3 linked regions of the Kluyveromyces lactis genome follow. The protein of the gene in region 1 interacts with the protein of each later gene in a biochemical or structural test. Links are inferred from orthologs where the notes say so. Each region holds a gene or a part of one and is shown in the gene's direction. Other genes may lie near its edges.

Evidence for each region. The genes of interacting proteins can lie anywhere in the genome.
Region 2: of the proteins of CDC28 (region 1) and TUS1, one has a biochemical effect on the other in vitro, tested with the Saccharomyces cerevisiae proteins (2 studies listed by BioGRID). The link is inferred for Kluyveromyces lactis from reciprocal best matches to the Saccharomyces cerevisiae genes CDC28 and TUS1.
Region 3: of the proteins of CDC28 (region 1) and DDC1, one has a biochemical effect on the other in vitro, tested with the Saccharomyces cerevisiae proteins (2 studies listed by BioGRID). The link is inferred for Kluyveromyces lactis from reciprocal best matches to the Saccharomyces cerevisiae genes CDC28 and DDC1.

Annotation. Positions count from the first base shown.
Region 1 is NC_006038.1:854,827-857,463, reverse strand, and holds CDC28 (cyclin-dependent serine/threonine-protein kinase CDC28), read left to right. Parts: upstream 1-1,249; coding exon 1,250-2,137; downstream 2,138-2,637. Other genes in the region: IFA38 (ketoreductase), read left to right, coding at 1-665. UniProt on the Saccharomyces cerevisiae protein: Cyclin-dependent kinase that acts as a master regulator of the mitotic and meiotic cell cycles. Required to drive the G1-S transition. More than 200 substrates have been identified. Substrate specificity is in part regulated by the bound cyclin protein.
Region 2 is NC_006040.1:221,454-225,432, reverse strand, and holds the start of TUS1 (Rho family guanine nucleotide exchange factor TUS1), read left to right. Parts: upstream 1-1,179; coding exon 1,180-3,979. UniProt on the Saccharomyces cerevisiae protein: Guanine nucleotide-exchange factor (GEF) for RHO1 that stimulates the exchange of RHO1 GDP-bound form into GTP-bound form. Required for signaling of cell wall defects to RHO1.
Region 3 is NC_006041.1:1,723,599-1,726,989, reverse strand, and holds DDC1 (Ddc1p), read left to right. Parts: upstream 1-1,229; coding exon 1,230-2,891; downstream 2,892-3,391. Other genes in the region: APL5 (Apl5p), read left to right, coding at 1-1,040; pyruvate transporter MPC1, read right to left, coding at 3,090-3,391. UniProt on the Saccharomyces cerevisiae protein: Component of the checkpoint clamp complex involved in the surveillance mechanism that allows the DNA repair pathways to act to restore the integrity of the DNA prior to DNA synthesis or separation of the replicated chromosomes.

The DNA of each region.
Region 1 (2,637 bases):
CTGATAGCAAGGAGAACTATACTTTAATTAGAGAAGTTGCGTCGGGTTTACCTGTAACTGTTTTGATCAATAATGTTGGTAAGTCTCATTCGATTCCAGTACCATTTGATCAAACCGAAGAATCTGAATTGAGAGATATAATTACTATCAACAATACTGCGACATTAATGATCACACAAACTTTGTTACCACAATTAAAAGCAAGCGTTAAGACGTTGAAATGTCGTGGTCTAATCTTGACAATGGGTTCCTTTGGTGGTCTGCTACCTACCCCATTCTTAGCTACATACAGTGGTTCCAAGGCATTTTTACAAAGTTGGTCTAACGCCCTAGCTGGTGAATTATCTAGCGATTCTATCGATGTTGAGTTAGTGTTATCTTACTTAGTTACCAGTGCAATGTCTAAGATTAGAAGATCAAGTGCATTGATCCCTTCTCCAAAGGCTTTCGTGAGATCCACATTGAACTCCATTGGCAAACGCTGTGGTGCCCAAGAGCGTTTTGCAACCTCCACGCCGTATTGGTCTCATGCATTATACCATTTCATTATCGAGAACACCGTCGGTGTGTACTCTAAGATTGCTAATTCAATTAATTATTCCTTCCACTTGAGTATCAGAAAGAGAGCTTTGAAAAAGGCTGAAAGACAAGCCAAGAAGCAATAAAAAGAGTTGTCTCCAAAATATTAGTTTGTTTTGATATAAGGAGCAGGTTTAAATAGATTTGTTGTAGTAACGTTTGATTATTGTGCGATATCCTGACAAAGAAACCATAATTATTGGAACCTGTAGAAGTGTATAAATTTTGTAAGTTTCTGTGTTAAATATTCTGTAACATGAAAGTATACTGAAAAAACCGTTCAGCAATGCCCTATACGTTACAAAATCCCTGCGTTCATCTTACAATTCCAAACCTTTCTTTCTTTTCAATTACACGTAAAGCTCATTATTGACCTTCTGACCTTAAAACGAAGAAAATACAAACACAATTTCGAAGATATTAATATAGTATTAAGGCAACGTTAATCTGTTAGAAAGAAGGCACATACCAGGGTAATATTAGAGCCATAAGCACTGAGTGATAGTTGATTATTTGATTTGACGCATATTTATACGCGAGCACAGCAAATTTTACTTGATCTGAATATACTGCTGCAAAAGAGAACAATCTGTACCTACCTAAAACTTGAAAGTAGTAAAGAAACAGAACAGCAAGGTCGCATCATACAAGAAATCCACCCTATACCAGGATGTCCGAATTAACAAACTACAAGAGACTTGAGAAAGTCGGAGAAGGTACTTATGGTGTTGTTTACAAAGCGGTTGATTTGCGTCACCAGAATCGAGTGGTAGCAATGAAAAAGATCAGATTAGAATCTGAAGACGAAGGTGTTCCCAGTACTGCGATACGTGAGATTTCATTATTGAAGGAACTGAAGGATGACAACATTGTCAGATTATATGACATCGTGCACTCGGACGCGCACAAGTTATATCTAGTGTTCGAATTTTTGGATCTTGATTTGAAAAGATACATGGAATCGATCCCCAAGGACCAGCCATTGGGAGGCAACATTATAAAGAAGTTTATGATGCAATTGTGCAAGGGAATTGCTTATTGCCATGCTCATAGGATCATACATCGTGATTTGAAGCCGCAGAATCTATTGATCAACAGAGATGGGAACTTGAAGTTGGGAGATTTCGGCCTTGCACGTGCATTCGGTGTCCCCTTGAGAGCGTACACCCATGAGATCGTCACTTTATGGTATAGGGCACCAGAAGTGTTATTAGGTGGGAAACAGTACAGTACAGGGGTCGATGTATGGTCCATTGGCTGTATATTTGCCGAGATGTGCAACAGGAAACCGTTATTCAGCGGAGACAGTGAAATTGATCAGATCTTCAAGATATTCCGAGTGTTAGGCACACCAAACGAGAGAACATGGCCGGATATTATTTATCTACCGGATTTCAAGACTACATTCCCTAAATGGAACCGTCGTAATTTATCCGAGGTAATTCCATCGCTAGATGCAAACGGTATCGATCTCTTGGACAAATTGATCACCTACGATCCAATCCACCGCATTAGCGCCAAAAGAGCAGTACAACACCCGTACTTCAAGGAGGAGTGAGAGTGTTGGTGACAGGAGGCGCGTATATTCATGTATATGATATATAATAAAAACAATACCAGTCACGTGTATTCACGTGACTTATATTACCCGGAACTCCACATTCCATTTCTTTTTGTCCCATCCAACAGCCCTTCGAGAGATGCTGCAAACATACCACAAAAACAAAAAAAAAACGGGCCTTGATTTCCTTGCCTGTGCCACAGCAATGCGCCCAAAAAGAAAGAACTAAGAGCAAGAAAAACCGAAGCAAATTGAAACCCGCCCCCCTCCCCTAGGCCTGGGGCTCTTCGTTAACGTTACGCCATTGCTAGTTTGGCTGAACGCAAATCTACCTAGTCACCTATCCTCGACATCCCCTCTCTATCGCTAATATGTCTGTCCATTATTCCGACCGAATCCCTGAAGAAATTAAAGACGAGGCCTGGTAAGAGACAGCTCAATTGACGTAATGTCTCTCAACTCAACCCATACCTTCTCTCTCTCTATTCACATCCCCC
Region 2 (3,979 bases), on another chromosome or scaffold:
TTAATGAACGTTTCTTTAATGATAATTTATAAATGAATATTCCAACATATATTATATAAACTAAATCGCGCCAGAATAGATAAAACAAATATCACGCAGGTATTTACGAAAAAGTAAAACAATGTCCACTTATTTATTACGATTGGCGAATCAATACGCAGTTATACAATTCCCGTTGACATTCAATTCAAATTACGACGATACACAACAATAAATCAATTTCAGTCATGTTTAGAGTCCTATTTCAAACCGCAGGAATTGTTTTAATTTGTTATTTTAGTTTGATAATACATATATCCAAAAACCACATACAAGATATTCCTTGCAGATATTGATACATATTTTGTGTGTAGAATATGATTCGATTGCAGAAGGCATGACATCAGAATGTGCACTTTCCTTTCAAGCAGATGTCTTATGGCATCTGATATGACTCGTAGTAATCATTTCGAGAAATCACAAACTGAAAAAGCTGTCATCTTTTTGGAATGATAACCTTACTTTGTTGTAGTCAGGTACGTAGGAACTATGAGAAAAAGAAATGATTCACGTGACACAAAATTGCATCATCCTCTCTCACGCTAAGAAAGGGAGCCCCAGGTGTGCCTTCCGTTGTCCCACATTCATGTAAGCCCTTCAAACCTTCATATTAACGTCTTTCCAATAGCCTGCTCAGTAGCGTACAGTTCTGGAGATGCATTCGTCGAGAGTTCCTTCTGAGCAGTAATTATGCTTCGCAACGACGGTTTCCGGGCGAACGTTTCGGGGTTCCATCTTTTTTCGTTCAGCCGTCGACATAGGAAGTGAGAAACAATTAGAAAGGGAAACAGAAGGGAAACAAATAAGAAACAGGTAGTTAACCGTTCGAAACTGTGATGTTGCAGTTTTCTGTTTTCTTCAATTTGCTTCCCTTCCCTTTGTAATGGTAACGACAAATCGTAGGAACAACTTATTGTTATTAACAAATATAATGTTGTAGCTACTATGTAAATAGATGATGGGGTGGACAGATGAATACTTTATTGTGAAAGGCCCCAAACTGATATCTCCCACTGCGTTCGTTGCTACTCGCGTATCAATTTAGCTTATATACACGAAGCTTTCACTTTCTGGCTTTATGAATACAAGTTTACCTTTATCAAAGTATTGCAATTCATTTCAACAGTATCATTTTGAGTAATGGACAGTACACAACGATCTCCTAGATTACCGGCGTTACCGCCTTTGCAGAGTCAACAATCTACTCCCAAGAAAGTTGGGAATAATGAGAGGAGGAGGAGGCCTCCTCCTCCAATACTGACGAGCCCTGTGACTCCTACATCTGGATCATCTTTCACCGTCGTACCGTCTAGATCAAGTGAAAAGCAGCAGCCTCAGATTGACCAACAGCACCTTTATTCATCTCCTTTTGTCACAGAGGTAAGTGTGAGTGAAAAGAGGGCGCCTGCTCCGAAAGTGTATATATCGCCTTTCGTTGGTGATCCATCTGTGTTTCGGTCACCTGAAACTCTTCCAAATAGCAGTTTCAGCAATAATAGCGATAGTCCAGCTTCACAATCAGATAATAATAATTATAATAATAATAGGCTGTCTTCTTCTTCAACTTCAAGTATATTCACCAATAATGTAACGATGCCAAATATTGAGTTTGAAGGGTTCGCTAGTTCGGATTCGAAAGATATCACAATGAAAGCTCTGCCGGCACTACCCCCACGAACGTTCTCCGGCCCTATTAACGCGGCAACAAAGACTACTGCAACATCTAGTAGTACACTGCAGTTTACGGGGCCCGTTGAACACCGTTATAATGATATGGCAGTTCCAGAAACGCTCCCTGCGCTGGATGCCATTTCTCCAATATCGACAGGAAATTTCAACTGGTCCACTTCGGATAAAAGTAGTTTACAAAACACAACTTTATACTATCCACAACCTCCGAAGATGAAAGATGTTAGTAATGGAGCAATAGGGCCTAATGAACCAAGACTTTCAGACTCAATCAGTAGTTATTATTCCAATTCGAGCTACGCTTTCAATAAAAACGTGGAAGAATATGCTAGACATGAATCGTTCGGTTCAATCACTGGGAGTAAACCACTGAATAATGTGGCTAGCATTACAGTGCCAACATACCCCTTCACGATCGACCTTTTGGATGAAAGAAAACTTTACCAGTGCTACAACATTAGCCAATTGTCACACATATACCAGTGGCTCTTGAAAGTATACTTCGAATGGTTTAATGAATACGTTTTCGGTAAATTGGAATTCTTTCAAATTGTTCAATTACTGTTGGAATTCCAGCTACCAAATTCTTGCGAGCAAGATATCATTGATTCGAACGTGGACAAAATTATTGAATCGCTTATCTTACAAGGTGCTGTGCGATTCGAAGACGATCCGGAAACTGGGAACCAAATCACCATCATCATTGCGGGGCTTGATACTCAAGGGGTTTTTACGGATTTATTGCCCTGTTACTCTTATTCTCATATATATGATGATCCTACTACGGATTTGAAGTGCTATTCATACACCTGCTGGAGCTCAAAAGGATCAGAGAATTACAGGTCACAGCTTAAAATCTCAGAATTCATCAACAAGTCAGTGGGGCTATGGACCGATTACTGGAAATTGACTCCCGAAGAATTATCTGAGATTAATCCTAAGGAAGTTAAACGCCAGAGTTTCATATTTGATCTAATAGTGCTAGAGGAAAGATCATTAAACCTCGCTAATGCAGCAGTAGAGATATATGGGGCCTCTTTTGATCCGGCTCTTTTACCGGATGACCCAAATTTTAAGTCGATGGCATATGATATATTCATTCCATTGATAGAGTTACATAAGGATATTCTTTTGAGCCCTATCCTTTGGAAACTTAAAATAAAAGGTAAATTCATTGATGGAGTTGGCAAGATATATTTAAAGTGGGCAAATGATGCTAAACAGGTGTATGTGAAGTATGCGCAAAATATGGCTACTGTCCACGAAATAATCAATTGGGAAAAGGAAAATAATACCCGGTTTGCATCTTGGTTGAGGCAAATCGATGAGTCAACTCCAATAACCAGATCTAAACTTTACCACGACGTTATCTTTTTTGGTGGATTTTTCAAATCTTTACAAAATATGCCAGTAACACTCAGATCTGTATTGAAGTGTACTGATCCATCAATGGATGATCACGAATACTTACGTATGGCAATTCAAGAGATTGAACAACTATCAAGATTAGTAGATAAAGCCCATGGTGATGCGATAGATAAACGTAAGATAGTCAGACTAGCTCGTCAATTGATTTTTACATCTAAGACAGGCAACACTGTCAACTACCTTAACATACAGTCTGGTAATGATTCCGTGTCAAATTTCACTACAAACAACGAGCATCTTGATTTAAAGTTAGGGGACGGTGACAGGAAGCTAATAATGCAAGGTATATTACAGAAGAAAAGAGAACTATGGCTTGAGAGTGCCCCTGTCTATGTCTTTTTATTGGACAATTATTTTCTGATCACTGAAGAAATATTCAAAGGATCAGGGAAGAAATATAAGCTAATAGAAAGACCCATACCCATTGATTATTTGAGTGTTGAAACAAAGGAGGACATTAACTATAAAAGAAAATCATTGTCAGATGCTGATGAAGAATCTTGCAATGTCCAAACGCCGTCTACGTCAAAGAAGCCTCCACTTTTACCTGCTGGAACAACAATGAGCTCTATACCGAAGACGATATACCAAACTGCTACCAACGCTACTTTAAACAATGACGATAATGAAGAATCTTCTTATTCATTCAAGATTAGGAATACTGCGTCTAACGAATCTCATACATTTTCAACCTCAACCATGGAAGAACGAGAACACTGGGTTGCCTCGCTGGTGAAGGCATTCCAGAATCATATGGGTCACAACGAAAAACAGGCGTTTCAATTACAATGTCTCTGTGATCTGTTTTCTTACGATGAGATTC
Region 3 (3,391 bases), on another chromosome or scaffold:
AATCTGAAATATCAGATCTTCTTTCTACACTAATCGCATTCATGGAACAAAAATACAGATCAACGAATTTTGATATACAAGAACGAAGCGTAGAGTTCTATGAAATGTTAAAACTCTGTCAAGATGCTTTGCAAGATGAAACGGAAGGGTTACCTCTATTAATTACCGACGTTTTACCTAGTCTTTTCAATGAGTATGAACTTGGCCCAATGTCACACGGACAACAACAGCAGTTGGTTAAGGCGTTAACACTCGATTTAGACACTCCATTTTTATCTTCTGTTGAACTCGAAGAATTAATGAAAAATGAAGAACTATATGAAGATGAAGCTGCATATTATTCCGACAAGGAGAGCGTTAAATCTGCTGCAAGCGCTGGAAGTTCTGACGGATCTGTAACTCAGGATATCTCGTCAGAGAAAGACATTTCAATGACAGAAGAAGAACTTGCTGCTTTAGAAGAGCGCAGAAGACAAGAGAGGTTGGATAATCCGTTTTATTTGAATGATGATAAAATTGACCGTGCAGAAACGAAATTGATAGAATTGAGTGATAACGATGATGAGGGTGAAACAAAAACAATCGAACCCGTCATCAAAATTTCGACGAAAAAGAAGAAATCTAATAAGTCACCATCTGTACAAATTTTGTCAGATATTGTAGTGGCTCCACCATCCACTATCACAAAGGAGGGGAAGAAGAAATCAAATACTTCTGGGCATTCAGATGCGATAACTCTTTCCACATCGAATAAATTCAAATCTTTTGATTTTAGTCGAAAGGATAACATTGATTACGACGGTGAATACACTGTTGATCAAGAGGAGTTGGAAAAGCTAAAAAATAAACTTGCAGAACAACACATTAGTGACAATTTAACAGCCATCCAAGATGACAAAGAAGAAGTCATAGTTATTAAAAAGAAAAAGAAGAAGAAAACCAAAGATGGCAGTAAGAAGGAAAAGACTAAGAAAAAATATAAAGAGCCCGCTGAAAAAGCTTCAACTCCAGCAATTTCTCTAGCTCCAAACGAATCATAATAACAGATTAATATAATCACTAATCCATTCGCACTATTTCTTTATAGACATAGGTTCAAATATTTAATCTGTAAAAAGATAAATCACGTAATTGCAAGAAAAAACACGAACTTTAGATCTAGTGAAGAGTTTTTTATCACCGCCAGATAAAGGGATTCTGACTGGAAGTTGTGACAACAGGCCATTGCAATGTCATTTCGTGCTTCCATAAACAGCACGAATGAACAGACCATATGGGGTAAATGCTTGGCAACTCTTTCTCAAATAAACCCTGATGTCTTCATAACAATCACCGAAAATGGTGTATTGATATCATCCATGAATGCAACAGACACGACCATGGCCAAGGTACGATTTCCTAAGTCGTTCTTTACAGAGTATCACTTCGAGCCGAAGAAGATTGTATTTGGTGAATCTGGAGTGCAGCAGATCACCGATTGTAATGACATTCTTCACACAATTTATAGTTTCAAAGCGAATGCAAAGTATCTTTCCCTATTATCACTTAAACAAGAGGATACAATTAAAGAATACATGTTAACTATCGACAATTGTGATAATTGTTCTGAAACTATAGCTAACAAACTCATAATCAAAATGAAGACAGCATCTTTGCTAACTAAAGAATATCAAGTTAATTTTGATCCATTGGAAAGTGTTCAGATCATATTAAGTCTGAAATATAAACAAAAATTCCTTTCAGTATACAACAACAAAAGTAAGGGCAGATCATTAGATCCTCGGTTAGTGGATTATTTCAAATCTTTACAAACAGAATTAGAACATGATATGTTTAATAGAGGTATCGCCAATGAACACAATATTGTGAGCACAGTGAAAAATACACCGTTGACGGTTAACGACGAAATCAACTTCTTAAGTTTTGATCAATCAATACTAAGAAACTTCATTGACTCTATTATGTCTAATGTGATCGAGGAAATAAAATTGGAATTGACGAGACATACTCTAGCCATAATAGGATTTACAAAAGCCGTGTACAACATGAAAAGTCAAGGGTACCTCAAACAAGCAGTTACAGTAACGAATACATGTAGCGCAAATGATCTAGAACATTACTGCATATTTTCAACAGAAAAAAACGACGGTTCGAGACCTTCAAGCAGATCACAAAGTATTAAGAAGAGCATTACGTTCAAATTACGAGATTTCAAAGTATTCTTAAATGGACTTAATTGTTGGAAAACAAATGACATGATAAGAATCTGGTTTTGCCAACCTGGTGACCCCATTCTCTTTGAAATAACAAAAGATGGGGTTGTATTGGAATTAGTGCAGGTAACTGATACCGAGGGTAGGGTCGAAGAACCAGAGGATTCTGTCACCCAATTTAACCTGTCACCAGAAAAGATAGTTTCACCAATCAAGAAGGATACCGTAGTGAAACCAGATAAGCTTCAAAGGCCGGAAAGTAAGCAGATGCTGTATCCACATACAAAACGCTCACTATTTATAACGGATGAGGATGGAGCAGATGATGATGACGAAGACGAAGAAGGAAGGCAATTCAGGTTTAAAAGGTGGGGGAAACAAAATAGTAACACTACTCCCAATTCAAACACTGGCTCCCAGTCAACACCATCGAACACAACAACCGAGCCGTCAATTAGCGAGCCAGTAAAGAGAATGAGAACAACTGTCGAATGGGGAGGAACAATTGAATCGAACAATGTCGGTACAGATGAATCTCATCAAAGAGAAATGAACAAGGCTGCTTATCTAAATAATTTGAAAAGACAAGCAATCCAAGAAGATCTCAATCTACAGGAAGAAGATGATGGCATGGGTCCCACACAAGCTGACAGACCTAAAGGTTTGTTCGACTCTTGATAATAAAGAACGAAAGAAGTACTTTATTTTTCATTTCGAAATGAATTCATAAACTGTAATTGAACATATAGACATATAATATACAGTACGTAAATAAACTTAGCATTAAATCTTAGATAACAGACCTACACAGTAGTGTAATCTAAGCCATGGGAGAAAGAATGTTGTTTTGTCGGCAGGTTACATTTTCTCTTGCATCTAGGCTGTCTTGGCGACATTGGCGTCAGTAGCGTCAGCTTTCTTGCCACCTAGATAATGATGGTTTAAATATCTGTAACCTTGCACAAGTTGGGCTGTTTCATTCACAACGTGACAACCGAATAACAAGAAGTTCCTTGGGGTAACAGCTAGGGAATATCTCATAAACACACCAGAGTACATCACTAGAGCCAGCGTCATAGGTCCAGAAATCATCTCCGGATCCTTCTTCAAATCGTAGATGGCAGCAATTGGGATACCGAAGTTTGAAACTGGACCCCAGAAATGTGTGGTGAAGACAT